Linked DNA regions of Kluyveromyces lactis. The protein of the gene in region 3 interacts with the protein of the main gene of each other region in a pairwise test. Links are inferred from orthologs where the notes say so. Each region holds a gene or a part of one and is shown on either strand. Other genes may lie near its edges. The genes, in order: CDC5, CDC53 and CDC7.

Region 1 (4,186 bases), about 140 kb from region 3:
TCATCTTTTCAAAAGAATTATTGAACCTCCTTCGGTTTTTCTCTATCCCCTCTTCCCTTCTATGTATTATTTTCATGAACTGTGTTGTGTTTCGGCTATAAAATAGGAGAGCGTATTACTATCCACCGTAAAGTTCAACGTTCATTGTGTATAGGACTATTTCTTTTGGGTTTTTTGGGTATTATCAGTACAGAATAGTGACCTTGTTTGCAATAAAAAAACCTTGGAAGGAACAAGATATTCGAATTTTGATATCTTCACATCTTTCTAACTTGTATACATTTGTTGTTACTTTTAAGATACAGTTTTTCTGGTGAGGGATCATGTTAAGATTCAATTATTAATTTATGTTAAATTAAACAAATTTATTCTGGCAGCCCCAGGCTTATTTCATCACAGATTCAAAATTAACTAATGAAACAATGAAATCTGACAGGTGAAGATATTTTGATACAGAATGGATGGCAGTTTTAGAAGTTGCAATCGGGGGAACACAACGATCAGGAATAGCTGGTATCATTTGGTATAAATCGTTGGATGCAGGAATGCGAAAAAAATACATAAAGGCGCTTGATGGACGTAGCCATACATGCTGGCTTGTACAACCAGATGAAGACATTCAAATGCAAATTGCATATTATCACAATGACATCCCTACCTAATGTATTGTTAGAACACTTGCTTTATCTCTCAAGCCCTCCTTCATTAGTTCTAGTTTCTCGAATATATCAATAGAAGGGAATCCTGGTACACATCCATCTATTAGAACACTCGAAAGCAGTAACGTTATCGTTTTACGATCAGATGAAATAAATGTTAAGAATTTACCTCCATGTGACAATGCAAATTTATTGTGATCCTTGAAGTTGAATTGGAAAGTACCATCACTCAACTCAAACATAACAAACTGTTTATAACGGGTGTATCTTCTCAAGAACACATCATCTTTATGATAAGTTTCACGGACCAGCGTAGAAATTCTACTCAAATTGGAGTTCATGTAATTTGAGAAAAAATCGACCACTTCAAGGTGTCTTGTTAATTCAATAGGTTTAGATTCTAATTTATAATGGCTTGCAACCCATCCTTCCTTAGTATCATAGTTAATATACCAGAATTCTTCCGCATCTGCTAGCTTTAATACTGTGGTTCCGTTGTTGAATAACACCCCGATATCGTCAGTTGATAACTGGTATGCAAATCCATGTTTGTTCGAATAGTCTACCCATTTTGTGACCACGATTGGGTCTTGTACGGTGGAGTCTGGAGAAGGATAGTTTGATTGCCTCTTATCTATTTCGGCACTCTTGATCCCTCGTAGTGTCATGTGGCATTCACTTGCAAGTATTTTCAGCGACATTTCGGATTTAATCATGTTAGTTGAAGTTGCCACCAACTCAGGCTTGAAGAATAGATTCTCTCCGGCTTTTTTCAGTCGATTTTGATATGCCATCTCGTTAAATTTTCTGTGGCCATCAAGATCGATAACTTCTTTATATTTATTTTTGGTTCCGCCTGGTGACAAGGATTGTGGTAAAACAGCTCTGTTTCTTTCTTCTTCTATTTCTGTTCTCACTAACTCAATTGGATTCTTACTACCATCATAAGAATGAGTTTGTGAGCTCTTAAGTAACCCTGAGTTTAGCATACATTGTTTCAAGTTAATCAATGACTCGCTGAAACTGAGGTGATCGAAATTTGGAATCTCCTTGGTTATTGTAGACGGTAATCTTGAAGGGAAAGTATTTCTGAACCATACGTTATCAGTTATTTCATATAACGATGGTCTGGCGGCTGGATTTAACTGTAAGAGATGTGAAATCAAGTTTTTAGCATCTGAGGATACCGGTTTGTCAGCTGGGAAAATGAAATCTCTACACTTAATTCTTTCATAGATTGTTTCAACTTCTTTTGCCTGGAATGGTGGTTTACCGAATAGCAATGCATAGAGCATCACACCAATTGACCAAATATCAACCTCATATGAGTGACCAGTGTGCTTTCCGGTGAGCACTTCTGGAGCAATATAGTTAGGTGTACCACAAATGGTATATTTACGCTCTTTATCATTTGCCAAGACAGCAGCAAGACCGAAATCACCGATTTTTAAGTTGTACTCTTTATCGAAGAAAATATTTCCAAGTTTCAAGTCTCTATGAATAACTCTTCTACTGTGCATATATCTTATGGCACCAATGATTTGGATCATACAGAATCTTACTTCAGGTTCCGTCAAATGTTTTCTTTGTCTTAATAATTCCATAACAGATCCGTTTGGACAGATCTCTAATAAGATATAAACGTTAGTATCATCTTCGAAACAGTCTGTAAATTGAACGATATTGGGATGTTTCATAGATTTGTGGATCTGAATTTCTGATAGTAATTTCCTTCTTGTCTTTTCAGATTTGATAGACAGTTTAGCAACTGTCTTCGCAGCAAATACTTTTCCCTTGTCATCCTTCATTTGGAAACAACGAGCAAATCCTCCCTCACCTAAGAAATGTCCTCTGTGGTAGTCCCGTCCTCTAGTCTTGATCAACGATGGAGGTGTTTTGCATAAAGAAGAGAGTTTTTCCTTCTTCTTTTTCTGAGGCGGCTGCTGACGATTGATATTATTATTATTATTGTTATTATTATTATTGGTGGGTTTACCATTCGTAGTAAGTCTATCTATATGATGCAGCTCAGTAACAACCCTTTTAGCCTTGATCGGTGTATGAATATTATTCGATCGAGCATTTAGCTGTTTATCGTTGATGATTTGAAGTGGTGGTGCAGACATGATGTCTGATTATTTTGTAGCTCTTTGATGGAATGATACTCCTGCGAGCTTTTGTTATGTCAAACACCCTTGTCGAACCAGTATACAAGAAATATCACTGCAATGTGTGATAAATAGTCTACACTTATCAACCTCCAGTAACTAATTTCTTTCTTGCGTGTATTTCCTTGGCCCGTCCAATAAATACCTTGCAATTAACGGTTTTGTGGCTCTCGATCAAAAAAAATGAATCTACGACGTCAAAGCACTGGCACCGTTGAAAAACTGAAGCGATTTAGGTTAACAACAGCAGAATGAGTACAACAACCAAGATTCTGACTGTTAAATGATGTTTCCGCTCACTGTAAGTCTTCCTTTCACCTGCAAGTTTGTAAACTAATATCAGTGATGTAAGTATTCCTAAGAATAATCGAACTTTCAACTGAATTATGGCAGTCGCAGTAAAAAAATGCTTCTAATATCAAAAGAACCCTTGTTATAAGCACTTGATACGTCTCAGGTAAGATGGTAACAATTAAAGGACTGAGTTCCCGCCCTCTCTTATGCCAAGTATGCTCTTAGGAAGTATGTAAAGAAAGACTGTATAATATTAGAATCTGACTTTTTTCCCTTCCAATATAATAGTATATTATACCAAACCCAGTACTTTTAAGCTGATATAAAAGCCAAACCAGTATACAAGGATACCCAAATAGTAATATCAATGACAATGAGCTACCGCAATTTACTGTAACTTCAAATTTATTCAAACCGACAAATTACTAGTTTTGTCAACTTTGAAAACACAAAACCGACTATTTACATTATTGAATTTTTTTCGACATTAACCAAATCTGTACAACGGAAATGAACAAAATGTAAACAATAACAAAACACTCAATGCGGTAAGTGCCAAAAACCCTTATTTCTTTAAAAGGACATTTTCCTAAGTAAGTATCTAATGAAAAAGCAAATAATTACCTTACCCGAATATTAGATCACGTGAGACTTTTTTTTTTTTGGGGGCAATTTTGAAAATTTACGGTTGTTCTATTTTCATTTTCACTTCTGCCCTTTACAGGTTAATATCTGTTGAATGTCTTGGATTCTTGAAAAATCAAATCTTCAAGCATTCGGTAGAAAAAGCTGATCTATTTTTTAGTAAGAGAAGAGGCACTGTCCTGATCAGCGCCTAAAGAAAACTAATAAAAAAGAAACATCCTAAACGGTCGAGAGAGTTCTATATTACTGGTGTCGGTAATATATCTACTTTAGAATTTCCTTTGTTTTATATTTACGATAAGAAATTTAAGGTTAAGACGGACCACAACCAAAGTAATTTGATATAGCCCATTTTAGAGCGCTACAGACTTGAATAGGCAGGTAAAAAGAACCCTATATAGTACTTCTATCGAATTAGTG
Region 2 (4,161 bases), on a different chromosome or scaffold from region 3:
TGTCATCGAAACTGCCTTGATATGGCTTGACTCATCTGAAATCTGAATTTTTTCTTTCCCATAATTGAAATATGGTCAATGAAAAGAAATATGGTAAAATTCCCACTCAATTTCGAGCTAAAGTCTAATCATGACCAATTTTCGTGAATATTCCTGTGGATTTTAAATCCGATGAACGTAGATTTTTGCAGCAGGTATTGACAAACACCTTCCGAATGATGCTAAGGTAGTCACTGAGAGTAGTGAGAGCAGCAAGAGAGCAGAGAGGGCTACCCAAGCATTTAGGTTTGGCTATTGAGTAATGAATAGTATACTCGTCGGTCCTTTCATGATGTCTCTCTTTTTTTCTTGGGAATATTCATGCTTGAAAATATGGGGCCCAAGGTTGACCTTTGGTCGAATGGTCGAATGGTTGCGAAATATATGTTGATACATATACATTTCTTATACATATGTATGGCGAAGTAAAAGGTGGATAAAAAAGTGAGCGTTTACGCTAGATATTCATAGCATTCACCGTCGTCTGTCCTTTTCAAATACTCTTGTTCTATTAGATTGTCGACAGCTTTTTTGATCATGGACACCTTGGCGTTGAATCTCTGTTGAGATTCGGCAATACACTCGTTCATCAATGAACTGTGTGGTAGTTTTCTCTTTGCCTTCATAATTCTCACTATGCATGCTCTTAAGAACATCAATCTTTGTTGATTTAGTTCCTTTTCTGCTTTCTTTTGCTCAGATGCCTCTGTTTCATCTAATGCAGATCCATTAACGGTTGCAGTAAAGGTTAGATCATTTTTCACAGCGGCTGCAAAATTAACACTAGTTTTCGATAATCGATAGGGTTTGTTTAAGGTGTACTTTGTATCTAACTTGATCATACTTTCCACCCCTTCTGGAGATTGTATTAATAGTTTCATCTTCACAAACGGATACATATTAGACGCAATCTGTGTAGCCTTCAAATTGGTTCTCTCTTGTATTTGTTCAAAGGTCAACGTAGATATATCATTAAACAAGGTAAGAATCGCCATTTGGAAAATAGTCACAGTGAATTGGAATGGTGGTTTGCCTGGTTTACCAATATGTGCCTTGATTTCACCACGAGACATTGGCCATAGCCATTTCAATATTCTACCAGAATGCTTGTCAGTATACATGGTTTCCAATTTGTTCTTACTATGTTCAAGAACTGGTGGTAATGCGAATTCTGTTGGTTGATAGCTGAAGGGCCATACATTGTCTGCAAGAATTAGAGGTTCTAATTCAGGAACTTTGCTTCTGAAAGTTGCGGCGCTAGTAGTATTATTCCCATCTTGTGAAATGAACGTGGAAAATTCATCATGCAAGTTTTTAGATAATTTGACATCTTGTAGCATCTTGGTAATCTTGCTGGTGTATTCAAGACTGTTCTCGGACTGTAGTCTTTGGATAATGATTTCTTCATCAGCTTCTGATTTTGATGATCCATGAATTAATCTTTTTGCTAAATTTTTTCGGTAATGCATCTCAAATGCATCCTTGTCGGCCAAGAACTTAAAGACAGTCATGATATCATCCACGGTCAAATCTACCTGTTCATTATTCTTGGTCGACTTTTTGAGCAACTGGTCACTGTATTTCGCCAACATCTCAGGAGCTCTAGAAGTCGCAAATTTAGGTGAACCAGGAGGAATAGCGAATGAGTTATTGTTAATGAAGCAACGGCATCCATAGTCTAAAGCCTTAGCAAAAGCAGGATGATTTTCAAAACATTCTATGGTGATATTGTAAAAGAGTTTGTAAACTCCTATTAAACATTTCAAGTAATCTCTAGGTGATAATCCCGGTTGCCTTTTAGCGTTTGAATCTTGTGCTGCACTCTTATTATGTGCATCAATTAATTTATCGATTTCTTCATTTCCGACTCTCTTGATGTACATATCAAAAGTATCCACCAAATCTGGTAACATTCGGTAATCGCGTTTCATCAATTCGTATATGAGCTTAATCAATCTTTGATCTTGCTTATCCAAAAGTAAAATAAACTCTTTTTTTAACTTATCGGCATGATCAGCAATCAAAACTTGGTTCAAAGCTGTAGACAATGGTGCCGATGTATGGGAATCCAAATATAAAATCATGTCCTTTTCTTCGAAGATTATGCATTCATTTGCCTTTTCGATGTATTCAGAGACACTGTGAGAGTCTAAGAATTCGTTGGACATCTTCGTGTAGTATTCTTTTGTCTTCTGTAGGAATGGCTGTTCGAAGTTTTGAATATACACATTCAAATTCAACTTCTTTAAGTCTGATGGATCGATACCTAATATCACAAAGGATTTTATTGCTATTGTAATAGCAGATTTATTCACTAATTCACCCCTCCGCTGCAAATCCAATTGATCGAATATTTCAGTAACGAGTTCCGTCTTATGTGTTTCAAACATAACTTCTTTCCACGTCATCAAGCACAAAGTATGTGCATCGAAAATGTGTCTTTTACCATCGCTTCTTTCCTTTTGCACCCAGTAACGGTTCATATAGTCGAAGACCCGATTTAAGAAAATAGCTCCGATTGTAAATCTTTCCCAGCGTCTCACGTAGAAATTCAAAAACGTTACATTATCATCTTTCTTTAAATTCGATATGTAATCTTTCAAATAATTCTTTAAGTTCTCATAGATTTCTCCTCCAACAAGAATCGAAGATTGATTCATTTGCTTCCCTATAATATCAGATTGGAAATGACCTGTAGAACGTGACTTGTTGACACAGTAATTATAAATCGCCGTGTATACCTCCATGTACATCCTTGGGGAAAGAACTTTCTGAACTCTGTTTGTCTTTATATCCGATGTACCATCACGATCCAAGATCTGGTCGATCCCAGGCTTCACAAAGTTCCATGTTGCTTCCAAATCATCTGATCTAGGTAATGTGTCTGCCATAGCTTATTAGACTTGTTTCTTATTGATTGCACGTGTAGTTTCTTTTACCAGTAATATTTCTATTGAACGATGCCTAAGTTATCTTTTCTGAAGCGTTAATGAGACTTGCTTCCCACTAACCCAGTTAAATATACGCTTTAGAATAATAGTATTCCCAAGGGCGCAGGTAGCGGTACTTGTAAATAAAGATTTGGTAGTAAACTGAAATCAGCAGCGATAGAAAATACAGTTCGAGTCCCAATTAGTCGAGCAACCCTTTTCAATGAATCGAAAGAAAGGATAAAACAGAATAGAAAGCGCCTTCACTGCTAAATATGAAATGCACCACTTGTTGGCGGGATCCTATAAAAAAGGGTCACACAGGAAAACTTTATATTGCTTCTATCGTGAAGTATCTCCGAGTTGTTCGATATTTTGACCCTTTTTGACAGCCTTACTTGTTATATACTGATTTATATAATTGCATACTATGTTACTATAATTTCTTATATTTTTGTTTTCGTTTGCCACACATTATTGGAATATCAAAAAATCCTGAATTGTTCCTCAATATGAATCTGATCTTATTATTAAAGTACTTAAAAGAGGGTAAGGATTACAGCTTTCGGCAAATATACTTTAGCATACTGCAGTCGTCTAATTATGTTGTTTAATACAGGGCCCAAACTTATATGTTTATAAGGTTTTCTTTGGTACTTTTGATTTTCTTTTGTTGGGTTTGTAAACAAATTATGTACTCTCATGGAATAATGATTTATTTAAAACAATTAATCTACAGGCGTCTTAAGTCGGAAGGGCCCGTTTCAAGAATAGTCTTAGGGTCTTGGAGCACCAGAACTGACTCTTTCCACGACCCTTAATATGCTAATACTGAACGTTACAACCCAAGTGACCAAGACCAAGAAAAGGAACGCCGCGAGCGCCCTTTGTTTGTCACATATATATCCTACGTGCGGAGGATCAACTTGTGACGTTCCAGTAGATGTGCAGACCCATCGATTATCATATAATGTATTGAAGGTAAGCGATAAATTAGCACTTGAAAATATGATGAATAAAAGGTCCAGCATAATTAGTCTGACTTTAGTCATAGGATCTCTAATTCCTAGCGGTTTCCCTGAAAATTCGTCATATCCGATATAAACCAAATATAATATAGCGATGGAATTAACACATAGCGCCATGATAGTACTTGGTTGTTGAGGTATTGATGATTCGAAGGATTCGACAG
Region 3 (3,375 bases):
CAAAAGGTGATTTTTTTAGTGCATGGGGAGGAATTGCATCCGTCGGGTTGGGACTACCATTACTATACACTAACGGTGCTTCCATCGCTGAAATCATTCAATGGTGTTGCGAGAACACCAGTAAGCAAGTTGGTCTTGATCACAGGAAGGGTTTCCTAAGAACTGGATACGACGCAGATTTTGTTATCTTCGACATCAATACCTATCAGACTGTCGACAACGATAAAGTTTATTTCAAAAACAAACTGACAGCCTATGATGGGTTCAAACTGAAAGGTTTAGTGAGAAACACCTATGTTAGAGGAAAATTGGCTTTTGAACTTGACGGCATGGGACATAATAAAAACCCTCCCGGCCAGACAATTCTTGAACGCAGAAGAACATGAAGTACCCCATCTTCTAATCATTTTTTTTTCTTCAATTTTGAATTACCTTTATTTGATGCATGATATACATATTATATATATATCACTTATGATTTAAATTTACCTAGAATATACTTCATTATTATAATTTCTAGAACAGCAATCGTCGGTACAAGAACTATGGAGCAAATTGATATGGTGACCAACCTCGATGCTATTGATTTAACAGTGTGGTGGTTTCTTTCTGCACGTGATTTGTACAGCTTCAAATTTCTTTCCAAGACTTGAAGCTGATCCTCTATTATATTTACAGAATCTTGCAGTGTCCTCACCAGTGAACTATCTATCGTCTCTCCTATCAAACGAGGATCTGCTGGCTTCGGTATCTGATCGAAACATATCTGTACAATGTCTAAATCAACAATCTTAGGATATTCATCACCAATGACACATAACGCATATTCACCAGTATGTTTCGCAGGAAATGTCCATTGCCCTTGCTCTTCGTCATCTTTGTAAATCATAGGATACTCTGTATCGTCCGGAGACCATAATTCATAGCTTACTCTGAAGGCATTGTTTTCTCCCTCTTGTACTGCGAAGTAATAAGATATTTTGCAGTCACTGTCATCAACATCAATGTAAACACATTCTTTCCCATTCTTCTGTAATTGTACCGTTATTGGTGAGCTTTGACAGACAATCACAAGCGAAAATACCCATAACCATGTAAACTTCATATTTAATAAGTTATACATGAAGGTTGCTTTGTGTGTAAATGTCCTTTTATTCGACAATTCCCCTTTTAACGTCCTGTTTCTGTTCATTAATATATGTCATTTCAATGTGAACTACTGCTGTTTGTTATTATATTTGGTTTCGACAATAAAAATGAAAACATCGCCAAAAAATGCATAGAATAAAAGAATCAACGGATATAGCGTATCTGTTCTTGTAGAGTCAAACCAATGGGTATACAGCTCGTCTGTTAGGCTTCATATTAGGTGGCAATATACACACTATAATTATGGATGACATTCCCGCTGAAATCATCCAGGAAATGGATGATTTGTACGATAAGGTACCACAGTTGTCATCCAGATACAAGCTACTGGATAAGATCGGAGAGGGGACCTTTTCATCGGTATATAAAGCTCAAGATCTTAGCAACGTATCTGGAAGGTTATACCCTGATCATTTCTGGGATAAGAATAGTAAACATGTGGCTATCAAGAGGATATACGTGACAAGCTCGCCGAACAGAATTGAAAATGAACTTAAACTCTTAGAGTTACTGTCAAATTCGAATAACGTAGCACCATTATGCGACGCGATTCGATACCAGGATCAGGTGGTTGTCGTCTTGCCCTGGTATCCGCATGAAGAATTCCGGCATTTCTACCGAGACATGCCTATCAAGGGGATAAAGAAGTACATGTTTGAACTTTTAAGCGCCTTGAAATACGTGCACTCATTTGGAATCATTCACAGAGACGTGAAGCCAACCAATTTCCTATACAACCCAATACTTGGGAGAGGTGTGTTAGTAGACTTTGGTTTGGCTGAAGAGAATGAAGAGTTGTACTTGCCTGACCTCAACTATCGTGTGTATGTTAATGACCAGGGAGAGAAGGTTTGTAATTGTTCTTCACCGTATGCTAACAACAAAAAGACATCACATCTGCCGTTGATATCCATTCAGAACGGGCAGCTTAACGTTAGAGGGGCAAATGAATTAAGTGCTGCACAAAGTGAGAATCTCATGAAGGCAGAATTGAGTAAGGGGTACCCAAAACATGAAACTAGGAGGCAGCGTAGAGCTAATAGAGCTGGTACGAGAGGGTTCAGAGCGCCAGAAGTGCTTATGAAATGTTCTTTCCAAACTCAAAAAATTGACATTTGGTCAGTTGGTGTGATACTGTTAAGTTTCATCAGCAGAAGGTTCCCAATCTTTCAAAGCATGGATGATATTGACGCCTTTCTGGAGATATGTTGCATTTTTGGAATCAAGCCCATGCAAGAAGTCGCCAAGTTCCATGGGTTGGGACTAGACATGACAAAGGTTCCAGGTTTCCATTCGGAAGGATATCCTGGGGGGCTACAAGGTTTTGTGAGAGCTTTACTTGACAAAGAAGTGGAGGAAGGAACATTACCAGAGTATTCCATAGCGTTCGAGACGTTGGATTATTTGACACAATTTGACAAACAACTCACGCCAAGTTTAGGCCCAGACGATGAAGAGGATATTGATGATAAAATACGGAGCTACAAACAAGCAGTTTGGGACGATCATTTTTGGTGTTTTGATCTCTTGGCAAAATGTTTCGAACTCAATTCATACAAAAGACCCAGCGCCAGTGATCTTCTTGAACATTTATGGTTCAAAGAACTGAACGAAGATTTACTTGATAGAGATCAAAGAAGAGAAGATCACTTCACCGGGGTCGTTGAGTAATGAAATCCAGAACGAAACAAAAATATTTGACGAAAATTAGCATATATTCACCGCAATAACTTAGAGCAGAACTCATTTTTTATATACATGCATTCATATATAGAGTTCTTTAACCGATAGAGTAATTTAATACTTTGCATTCATCATCATTATTATATTTAGTTTACAAACGTTGCCAACGCTTTGACGGCATAAGTTAGAGAACAAGTGCGTAAATAAACGAGTAAAACAGCGTTATTCACTTAAGAGAGAATGCTATAATACCCCAAGTCAAATATGTATGTGGTGATAGTAATTGGTGAATTCAGAACAAGAATGGGATCAAGAATGCTCTCTTGGTACCATATTTCTTGTTTTTCTTTTGAGCCCACAAGTACATCTGAACCACCGAGACAACAAGGAAAAGAACTGAGAATAAGTTCAACTTGAACAACAAAGTGAAAAACATCCAAGCCCAAGATTCAAAAGTGTAATTTGGAGCGACAAGTAGTTTGAACAACCCAGAATTCAATGGGACTCTCTTCGTGACACCGTTTCTCTTTTGTTCATCACCCC

Evidence for each region.
Region 1: the proteins of CDC7 (region 3) and CDC5 interact in binary tests that used the Saccharomyces cerevisiae proteins (3 or more experiments, as listed by UniProt). The link is inferred for Kluyveromyces lactis from reciprocal best matches to the Saccharomyces cerevisiae genes CDC7 and CDC5.
Region 2: the proteins of CDC7 (region 3) and CDC53 interact in a two-hybrid assay, tested with the Saccharomyces cerevisiae proteins (2 studies listed by BioGRID). The link is inferred for Kluyveromyces lactis from reciprocal best matches to the Saccharomyces cerevisiae genes CDC7 and CDC53.

Annotation. Positions count from the first base shown.
Region 1 is NC_006039.1:539,008-543,193, reverse strand, and holds CDC5 (polo kinase CDC5), read right to left. Parts: upstream 2,786-4,186; coding exon 659-2,785; downstream 1-658. UniProt on the Saccharomyces cerevisiae protein: Protein kinase required for the cell cycle where it is involved in mitotic exit. A component of the fear (CDC14 early anaphase release) network which promotes CDC14 release from the nucleolus during early anaphase. Phosphorylates SCC1/MCD1 and NET1.
Region 2 is NC_006042.1:536,690-540,850, reverse strand, and holds CDC53 (cullin CDC53), read right to left. Parts: upstream 2,931-4,161; coding exon 492-2,930; downstream 1-491. Other genes in the region: SRF1 (phospholipase D regulator), read right to left, coding at 3,746-4,161. UniProt on the Saccharomyces cerevisiae protein: Core component of multiple cullin-RING-based SCF (SKP1-CUL1-F-box) E3 ubiquitin-protein ligase complexes which mediate the ubiquitination and subsequent proteasomal degradation of target proteins.
Region 3 is NC_006039.1:396,507-399,881, forward strand, and holds CDC7 (serine/threonine protein kinase CDC7), read left to right. Parts: upstream 1-1,392; coding exon 1,393-2,820; downstream 2,821-3,375. Other genes in the region: DAL1 (allantoinase), read left to right, coding at 1-386; ERP3 (Erp3p), read right to left, coding at 473-1,192; trans-2-enoyl-CoA reductase (NADPH) TSC13, read right to left, coding at 3,125-3,375. UniProt on the Saccharomyces cerevisiae protein: Serine/threonine-protein kinase. Needed for the initiation of DNA synthesis during mitosis as well as for synaptonemal complex formation and commitment to recombination during meiosis. Required for HTA1-HTB1 locus transcription repression.